Linked DNA regions of Rattus norvegicus. The protein of the gene in region 2 interacts with the protein of the main gene of each other region in a biochemical or structural test. Links are inferred from orthologs where the notes say so. Each region holds a gene or a part of one and is shown on either strand. Other genes may lie near its edges.

Region 1 (5,458 bases), on a different chromosome or scaffold from region 2:
CATTTGAGGCTGACACCACCCCAAAGAGGACCTATACAAATAACTTATTTTTCCTCATAATCTTCCTAGTTACAACTTTTTTAGGATTCATTTTTTTTAAAGATTTATTCATTTATTATATATAAGTACACTGTAGCTGTCTTCAGATACACCAGAAGAGGGCATCAGATCTCTTTACAGATGGTTGTGAGCCACCATGTGGTTGCTGGGAATTGAACTCAGGACCTCTGGAAGAGTAGTCGGTGCTCTTAACCGCTGAGCCATCTCTCCAGCCCCTTAGGATTCATTTTTATTTTTTATATTTATTTAGTTTATCGAGGCAGGGTTTCTTTGTGTGGCCTTGGCTGTCACTGAACTTTCTGTGTAGAAGAGTATGCTCCACTGAGGCCTAGCTATCTATTTAATTTGTTTTGTTTTTCCAGACAGGGTTTCTTGGCAGCCTTGGCTATTTATTTACTTATTAGGTTTTCCAGACAGTGTTTCTCTGTAGCCTTGGCTGTTCTGGAACTTGCTCTATAGACCAGGCCTGCCTCTGTTTTCTAAGTGCTGGGATGAAAGGCATATTCCACCACTGGGCAGCTTTTTTAAATTGTTTACTTCTGTGTATACATGTGTCTTTATGTGCTTATGTGTACATATGAGTGCATCAGTCTGCAGAGTCCAGAAAAGGGTGTCTGGTCTTCTGGAGCTGGAGTTACATACAAGGTAGTTGTGAGCCACCTGCCTGGGTGCAGGGAACAGAATTCAGGTCCTCTGGAAAAGCAGCAAGCTCATCTAACTATTATTATTATTATTATTTTTTAAAGATCTATTTATTTATTTTGTATATGAGTACACTGTGACTGCCTTCAGATACACCAGAAGAGGGCATCGGATCCCATTACAGATGGTTGTGAGCCATCATGTGGTTTCTGGGATTTGAACTCAGGACCTCTGGAAGATCAGTCGGTGCTCTTAACCGCTGAGCCATCTCTCCAGCCCTCCTTTAACCATTATTAAACCATCTCTCTGGCCACTAAGCTACAATTCTTTTTTTTTTTTTTTTTTTGGTTCTTTTTTTCGGAGCTGGGGACCGAACCCAGGGCCTTGCGCTTCCTAGGCAAGCGGTCTACCACTGAGCTAAATCCCCAACCCCTAAGCTACAATTCTTAATTCAAGCCCATCTTAGGACAGCCCCACGACTGGCTCAGCTTTTTACTCTCCTCTAGAGCATCGCTTTAATTTAAAATTAAACTACATAAAGACATATGAATTTTAAATATTTATGGAGTATCATCTTCATAACGAATGCATACATTGCGTTTCACCCACCTACATATATTGTATTCTTTAAACTGGGTTAAACATTTCTCCGATATCGCTTACGGTGAAAACATTCAAAATCTTTCTTTTAAAAAAATATAGGGGCTGGGGATTTAGCTCAGTGGTAGAGCGCTTACCTAGGAAGCGCAAGGCCCTGGGTTCGGTCCCCAGCTCCGAAAAAAAGAACCAAAAAAAAAAATAATATATATATATATATATATATATATATATATATATATATAGAGAGAGAGAGAGAGAGAGAGAGAGAGAGAGAGAGAGAGCGCGCAAATGACCCTTATCTGCAGTCACCTCGCTGTGCGACAGTACACCAGATTGTCTCACTCTTAGTTGACCCCTACAGGATGTCAGTGTAGTCCAGGCTAACTCCTCATACCCCAGCCTCCTCAGTGCTGGAAATTACATAGAGCGTGCCACCATAGATACTGCTCTTCCCTGAAGTATCTATGAGGTAAAATACATCTGTAAAGTGAGAGGAACGAATCGAATGCTAAAGCGGTGATTGGGTAATCAGATTGGGTATTATTAACAGGCAACACTTGGATCTTTGCTCTTGTTAAGACATAAACTGCCTACTTTTTTCCTTTTTATTCTTTTTGTTGTTGTTGTTCTTCCTCTTCGAGACAATGTTTGTTGTTGTTGTTGTTGTTGTTGTTGTTGTTGTTCGAGACCGGGTTTCTCAGCGTAGTTCTCCTGACTGCTGGAACTCGTTCTGTACACCAAGCAAGCCTCTAATGCCGCCTGGCTCGGCCTCCAGCGTGCAAGGATTAAAGGCGTGCGTAACCTCCGCCGGGTTTAAACAATCCGGTTTCTTCTGGTCCAGCACACAAGCGAAGTCCCAGTCCTTAGGGAGTTAAAAGAAAAAAAAACCCTCCCAGCACGCTCCACACGTTACTCCGGAAGAGGTGGAGCAGCCGGGGGCGGACCATGCCCAAGGGGCGGGGCAGTCTGGGGCAGTTCCGGGGGCGGGACAGCCCCCTACTGTGGCAATCCCGAGGGGGCGGGGTAGTTCCAAGGGGCGGGACAGCCCTGAGGGGACAGGGCGGGGCTAAAAGTAAAGCAGCCCTAGGAGAGTTTGGCGCGAAGTTGTCTGTGCCAAGCTACCTGCGACGACGGCGCTCCTTCGTACGTAGTCCCTTCCTGTTTTTCTCCTTCGAGGCTTTTCAGGTCTTGCTTCGTTATTTTGCCATAGAGCTTGGTATCTCTTCACCGAGTACGTCATGGCTCCCAAGAAATGCCCAGAAACCCAGAAGTCCCCCGACGTTGCGGTGCTCCTCAAGAGCAAAAGCCGCAGAAGTCCTCAGGAGCTGGAGCCCGAAGCCAAGAAGCTGTTTGTGCAGGGTCCCGGTACGGCCTGTGCGCTGCCTTAGCTTTCGGGTGGTTCAGGGTGCTCACGCCAGAGGCTGAAGGTGGGGTGGTCGGTGCTTGTGCCTAGGATTCTGAAGCAGTTCCTGGTCCCCGTCACCTCAGGCTGTGATTTTATTTGAGAGATCTAGGGCTCGAACCCAAGCCTCTAGTACGCTCAGCAAGTGGTCTGCAACTGAGCTACACTCATAGGACTGCGCTTTATTTGCCAGTTCATTGACACCAGAGAGTTTAAGTTTAACTGTCACCCCCCACCTCTACCCCAGGTGGCAGTAAGAATCAGATGAGCTCCATCACCATAAAAGCCACACTCATCACTTTTCCTTGCAGAAGTTTTACACATCTGTTTCAAAGTTATCCTCACTTTCATAGACCTTTGATTGCTGAATTTCCATAGTGGGTGTTGTTAGCTGTATGGCCTTGGGTTTCAGCTCGGAGAGTGAAGTCTCCCCCCAACCCCTTTTCTTCAGGAAGCTCATTCTCGTTTACCAGGGCTTGAACCTGGGGCTATAAGGAATGTGGTAAAGTGATATGGTTTTAGCCATGTTCTCATGGGAAGGAAAGTTGTCAAGAGAAAGGACCTTATAAGATTGGGTCCACCAGAAGGGTTTGGTAATTCAGGGTTACTTTGTTTTCATATACTCTGATTTACCTCCTTTCCCTGAAGCAACCTAATCAATTTAGAGCTTTTCTAAACCCTGGTTAATTCTTCTGGTTTCCACTCAAGTAATGGTTGCTCATCACGTTATTTATTTAGTATTTCTGTGTAGACCAGGCTGGCCTCCAGTTCAAGATGTTTATGCTCCAGCCCTCAGAGTGCTAGGATTACAGTTATGCACCAATATGTTTGGATAGCTCTTATTTTAATATAAGATTAAACAAACCTCTTTCCCTAAGCAATTACTCCCATGCTGTCCTAGAAATGTGATTTTAAGTTTGTCCCTCAACTCCTACTAATTTGTCATCCCACACAAGAAAAGTCTTGAGTGTACACTATTCTGTAGCTCCTTGGCAAAGCTCTAAGGAACCCTGAAAGGCCATATTTAGTTTCACTGCAGAATTACTGTTTGGAGGAGTGTTTTGGGAAAGTGTTGTTATTACTTTCTTGGGTTGAGTGATATTCAACAGCAGAGAAAGGCTTTTAGGAGATGATGAGACAAAGGATTTTCAGAGGGGAAACCTTTCCTGAGACTGGGGAGAGGAAAACGTCTATTCTTCTTGGGCAGTTTCTAGTAGGAAATGTGAGTCGTGCTGCCTTCTGGCAGAGTTGTCCAGCTTGCAGATCCCTCCGAGGAGCAGCAGCATTGTCCGGGATCTTTACCAGCAGAAGTTGGGCAAAGCCACCTGGCCGTCACTACAGCAGGTGAGATGTTTCCTGTCTGAGGCGCTCAAAGGTGTACATAGCTTTTCAACTGCTGCCCGCTCTAACCAGACGATGGATTGGTTCAGAATCATCAGGTCACCTCAGATATGATGACTGACCTACTGGACACTCAGTCAAAGAGAAAATGTTTTACTCTGTAGACATCCTAGCTACAACAAGCATTCTCCCTCCTGCTTGCCAGGATTAGTTCACATACATTGCAGATAGTTGATACACAAGGCCAACAAAGACTTACTGCCTACGCACAAAGGAGCCAGAGAGTGACAGTTTACCCAGGACTTGAGTTTAGTTTTTATTAATGTTCTGAGACACAATCTCTGTGTAGCCTTAGCTGGCCTGGATCTCTGTATGTTGACCTGGCTGGCTTCAGTCTCACAGAAATTCACCTACCTCTACCTGCTGAGTAGTGGAGTGAAAGGCATGCACCACCATGCCCAGCTTAGGACATGAGTTTTAATTCAGGGAATCCAGATTAACTCTATTTTCTCTGTATTAGGGTCTCCAGAAGTCCTTTTTGCACTCTCTAGCTTCTTACCGGGTATTCCAAAAAGCTGCCCCCTTTGACAGGAGGACAACGTCCTTGGCATGGCACCCGACTCATCCCAGTACTTTGGCTGTGGGCTCCAAAGGGGGAGATATTATGATCTGGAACTTTGGCATAAAGGACAAACCCATCTTCCTTAAAGGGGTAAGTGGTTACGTGAGCCAGATGGTTATGCTTTAAGGCTGATTGTTGGAGGAATGGAAGGAATGTTGATAGCCAGATGATTGGGGAAAAAAGTAACTGGTTTTAAAACTTATAAATGGCAACACAATTCAAATATGTTTTTAATGATGGTCTTTAAAATATCAGAAGGTATAGACTGGTCTATAAAGTCTAGCATTCCTCTTCCTCATCTTCTCCCTCCTCCTTTTCGTCATCTTCTTTTTGAGATAGAATTTCATTGGTTGGCTTGGAATGCATTGTAGACCAGGCTTGCTTCAAATTCATAGACCTGCCTGCCTTGGCCATGCCTTTCTGTATCCCTTCCTACAAAACCTCATTTTGTCCATCTTTCCTGTGGTAGTTAATTTTTCATTACTGTGGCAGTCCCAGAGAGAAGGGATCTAAAGGAAGAAAAACAGCTGGAGAGTTTTGGCCCATGCTTGTTTGCTCTGTGGGCATCATGGTAGAAGAGGATGGTAGAGCAGTGCGGCTTATCTCAGGAGTCAGAAAGCAGGGAGAATGAATTGCAAGGGGTCTGGAGTAAGTGATTGCCTTGTCCCCTAGTGACCTGTTTCCTCTAACCAGACCCCATGCCCTATTAGCTCATTCATTTGGAAACTCACCAATGAATTAAAGCGGTGATGAAGTTAGCCCCCTCATGATGCAGTTAACCTTTCAATAGT
Region 2 (4,689 bases):
TTTTTTTTTTTTTTTTTTCTTTTTTCTTTTTTTCGGAGCTGGGGACCGAACCCAGGGCCTTCCGCTTGCTAGGCAAGCGCTCTACCACTGAGCTAAATCCCCAACCCCGACTGTGCAGTTCTTAGGAACACATTTGGCACTCCGGCATGTTCAGGCTCTGGTTGCACCCCATTGCTCTTCAAGGAATAGTCCAGTCATATCCCTGAGTCTCCCTTACCCCGACACTGTGGGGCCTCTCCCTGATTTCTGTTCTGCTGTTGGAGCTGCATGTATCTGAGTTCTCTGAGACATCTTTGTAAACCTGGCTTTATCCTTAGGTTGTGATCCCTTGGAGGACGGCGATCAGGTGCAGCCCCTTTTCTATAACCCAGGGAGCAAGACGCTGGGTAGGAGATGAAGGTTTGCTGAGTGTGTGAACACTTAGGTCAACCCCCAGACTAGGATTAACTGGCAGGAGGATAATTAAAGTAAGTAAAAAAGCCGTTTGCAGCAAAGTGGGGTTAGAGCAAAACAGTGCTGGGTGCCATGTCCTAGGTGGCATCTGCTGACCACTCTCAGCCTAGGGTCAGTCTCCTCCAGGGCTCCGATGGGGCAGAAGCTCCATGCGCCTCACAGCTCTGTCCTGAGAGGAGATGCATGTGAGCAAGTTCTCCAGGGATCTGGTCACCACGTTCTTGTCTAATCTTGCAGTCGTTGGTTCAAAATGCTGACGGAGAACACAAGAGGCATCTTGACTGAAGCTGTGTAGTAGACCTCCCAGAGGCTCGGTGTCCAGCCACACTTGCTTGCTGTGTTTAATGAACAGGGTCTGCACAGCTGGCAGGGTCAAGTGTCCCCAGGAGGGGGAAAAAGACTTCCTGAATCAGGAGAAAATCTTGAATACAAAGGTTCTGGAATTTATTTTAGACATGAATGCATGGAGCCAAAGAAGTCAACATGGATTTTACACACAACAGAGTTTGTGCGCTTAAAACTGGCCCGAGGCCAGGTCGGACAGACGTACTCGTGGGCATGAGTGACAGGTGACACGGCAGCAAACCTAAGATGGCCTCTGCGCAGCCCTGTGTGCAGTACAGGCCGACTGTTCCCTTCCTAATGGGAGACACAGCCAGCCCGCCTCTGTCTGTCCTGTCCCTGGAGGAAGTCTCAGGCCGGACAGGCAGGTTCTCCTGCCTGCCCAGAGTGCACGATCCACCAGGAGAAAGTGGATGCAGCAAGGACCGGAGGGGCAGTCCTCAGGGTTACGCCAGATCCACTATGGCCAGATGGTAAGCAGGACCTTGTTCCTACAGCTCCCCCCCCACGCCCCGTTAGATGAGACTCCTCCCTGTCACACCGATTGGGCCTGTGACACCGAGACAGAAAGCAAGGGGCTGTATCCTGATTCCTGACAGGCACACCCCAAGAAAATAAGCTGGGTATGACAGCCATATTTGTGGGGATTTGTCACATATCATAAAAAATAAGGTGATTTTTAATTAAAGAACAGAACTTAAACTTTAAGACATTTTTAAAAACTCCCCTGAATGTTCCAATTAGATGCAGTACTCATATCAACTATTTAAATGTGACAAATTTCACTTTTAAAAAAACCATTATAATGAGTTATGAAACAAAAGGCCCCTTGTTCTATAAAAAAAGAGTTAAAACCCATTATTTTACACTGAGGATATTCATCAGTTCTTTATCCTAGTTTTAAAAGCTTTGTGTCATAAATGAGGCACAAAAAGCAAAGCAAGAAAAGGATATTCTCTGAAGGGGAGGATCTGGGCCTGGACATGGTCTTCACAGACCTGCCGCAGCTGCTTGTAGAGCGTGGGGGAGACTTTGTGAGAGCACAGATTCTCAACAGCCTACAACAAAGGAGAGGGTGGTTGTTCAGCGCGCGTCAGAGCTCTTGGAAAGCCCTGCGTTTACCTGCAGTACAGCCCTCTCGGGTGGTCAGGGCACTTGTGCCACCCACACTGATGGCAATGGCCAGCAGTGCCAGCAGTGAGGGGCTCAGACTGACATACCCTGCACCCACTGTTCCTTGGGGGCTGGCACCTCAGGTGTGAAGCTTTGCCCTGGTTCAGGAGTTGCCCTGTCAGGCTGCACAGACCAGGGCTGTGAGGTTAGTTTGGGTCATGTGGCCATTTTTTGACTCTCTAGGTTGAAATGGGGCACACATATATCCTAAAAATGGCCATGTGAACCTGGGCAGTGGCAGGAGGGAGCGCCCAGCTGTGTGAGTGTTAGACCTGTGATTCCTGAGTGACAGGCCAGGCTGCTCCGCTCCCTGTGTTTTTACTGATTGTTGATGTAGAATGCATTTATTTTGTCTTGATGAAGAAAAGGCAACTTTTGTTTGTTTTTTTGAGACAGAGTTTCTCAGCGTTGGCTGTCCTGGAACTCACTCTGTAGACCAGGCTGGCCTCAGACTCAAAGCTCTGCCTGTCTCTGCCTCCTAAGTGCAGGCATTAAAGATGAGCACCACCCACCAGCCAGCAAAAAGGCAACTTTAAACAGCCTACAGGAAAAAAATTATTTCTACCCACTGAAAGAATATAATCTCATCACTCATATTAAACCTCTCTCAAATCTCATATACATGTCAGACTCTTATTCACGTGAGAAGTGTAAAAAGAAATGATCTCTAACGAGGAGAGGGAACAGAGAGACTTTCCTTAGCTCTTTTCCTCGAAGTACCTTCCCGTCTTATCTGTCAGCTCTGCCTCAGAAGCTCAGCATAAGTCAGCCCATGTTTACAAGTACAGAAAAAAAAGTGATTTTATATACACGTCCATGCTTGTGTGCTTTTCTGTAGAAGTCCAGTTTGTGTGGCTGGTATGCCGTCCTTCACAAGAAAGCATTTGTGCAACAGTTTTCTCTCTCTCCTTCTTGAGACGGAGTCTTACTATGTAGCTCTGACTGTCCTGGAACTTGCTATATAGACCAGGCTAGCCTCAAACTCAGAGATCCTTCTGCCTCTGCCTCCCCAGTACTGGGATTAAGGGTGTGCACCACCAGTCCCCTAATATGAGCGTTTTCTGAGTGCTGCTTCCTGAGTTGGAGTCAGCAGTCCTAACTACTTTTCCTAGCTGTGACACACTATCGCTGTCATACCTACTAACATGAATCTTCCTCATGTACTTAGTTACAACTGAAGTCAGCCACTACAGAGACATATGGTATGACAGGTGGGACCCAAGGTGACCCTGGACTCAAATGAGAAGACGGTAATGCACAATGGCAGTCCAGGATTGGTGGCACTGTCTGTGTTAAGGATGGCCTGGGGGTACTATTTCCATACAAACTTGCTGCCTCCCCGCACTACCCCCTACTCAGAGTGAGGCTGGGATACTGGGCCCCTCTAGATGCCTAGTGAGAGAAATAAGTAAGAATACAAAATGAAATCAGGACTCAAATCCAGGCAACAGGAAACTCAGAAACTTCTCAGGAGACATGCACCTGTCACCATCTTCCAAACCCAACCTTAGCACTCAAGGTTGAGGTAAGAGCTAAACACACACCTGTGAGAGCTGAGCAGGAGGCTGCTAGACCAGGGCAGGTTCTGGTGGGACAGACAAGTCAGAGAGGCTATAGTCTCTGCTTTTGTATTGAATTTATGCTCTACTAGTACGTGACTTCTTCAAAGTGGTCCTAGCAATACTGACCTGTTCACCACACCCTGGGCTTTCCCATGTCATTTTAGCCAATCCTGTTACTTGGTTTTCCACAGACCCACACTGCTCCCTCCTTCACTAATATGCCTGACAGGGGTGAACCTTCCGGCTCTGTTGTACACTCCAGCCCAGAGCTGACCTCTCCCTGGAAGCTAGGCCACTCTGAGGAGTTTGCTCTCAGGTGGAGCTCCACTCTGAGTCTTCCTCTGATGTGTACTAGGGTGACGAAAGGACAAAATTCAAGTACGTAAGTCACAGGAGTATGTCCTGAATGGTTCAGACTCAGGTCTTCAGAAGCAAAGGGATCTGCACCTTCAAAATAACCCTGCCCAGAGGAAGATACAGAGACTGGGAACTGAGAGACCTCCCTGCCATGAAGGACAGATAGAACCAAGTGATATCCAGTAATCAAGCTGTTGAACAAAGAGCCATGACCAATGGGCTCCCGTGTTTACACCAGACCTCAAACTAAGTATTTCCAGACTTTGGTAAGAGGTGGTGCTTTTGGCTAAGATTCTGTGGTAGGGCATGAAGCACAGCTGGAAACAGGAGAGGCACAGGTGAGCACACTGCTTGTCTCTGCCCTTTACAGAGGCTGGAGGTGAGTGCTCATGGGTGGCTGGTGGGGTGGAGTAGGCTGGAATGTATGAGGTCTCACTCTAGGACACACTGCTGCATGTATGGGGTATGAAAAAGAACTTCCACTGTTGGGACAACTGAAATGGGACACTATTCTCTCTAGGCAACAGAGTGGCTTTAGTAGCAAGGATATTTTATCGAGCCAAAGCCGAGTATTTAGGTATTTTGGTGCAGTTCTTGCTCAAAATAAACCCCTAGAACTGGACAAAGAAGCCAGAGTATTTTAGGGGTCCTGGGCACCAGCAAACCAACCAACCAATCAACCAAACACCAGACAAAGCACAGGAAGCATGTTGGGGCCTTGGACACTGCCCAGAAGTCAGTGACCTTTGGGAAGTCTCTGCTGTTTCAGCTCCCTAGCCAGTTTCAGGCTGCATGTGGGACT

What was found. The genes of interacting proteins can lie anywhere in the genome.
Region 1: the proteins of Cul4a (region 2) and Ddb2 form a complex in vitro, tested with the Homo sapiens proteins (2 studies listed by BioGRID, with this or other methods). The link is inferred for Rattus norvegicus from reciprocal best matches to the Homo sapiens genes CUL4A and DDB2.

What each region holds. Positions count from the first base shown.
Region 1 is NC_086021.1:97,660,356-97,665,813, reverse strand, and holds the start of Ddb2 (DNA damage-binding protein 2), read left to right. Parts: upstream 1-2,370; 5' UTR 2,371-2,512; coding exon of another isoform or gene 2,513-2,540; coding exon 2,541-2,667; intron 2,668-3,911; coding exon 3,912-4,048; intron 4,049-4,565; coding exon 4,566-4,757; intron 4,758-5,458.
Region 2 is NC_086034.1:83,113,997-83,118,685, forward strand, and holds part of Cul4a (cullin-4A), read right to left. Parts: intron 1,854-4,689; coding exon 1,750-1,853; coding exon of another isoform or gene 1,749-1,749; intron 1-1,748. UniProt on the Homo sapiens protein: Core component of multiple cullin-RING-based E3 ubiquitin-protein ligase complexes which mediate the ubiquitination of target proteins. As a scaffold protein may contribute to catalysis through positioning of the substrate and the ubiquitin-conjugating enzyme.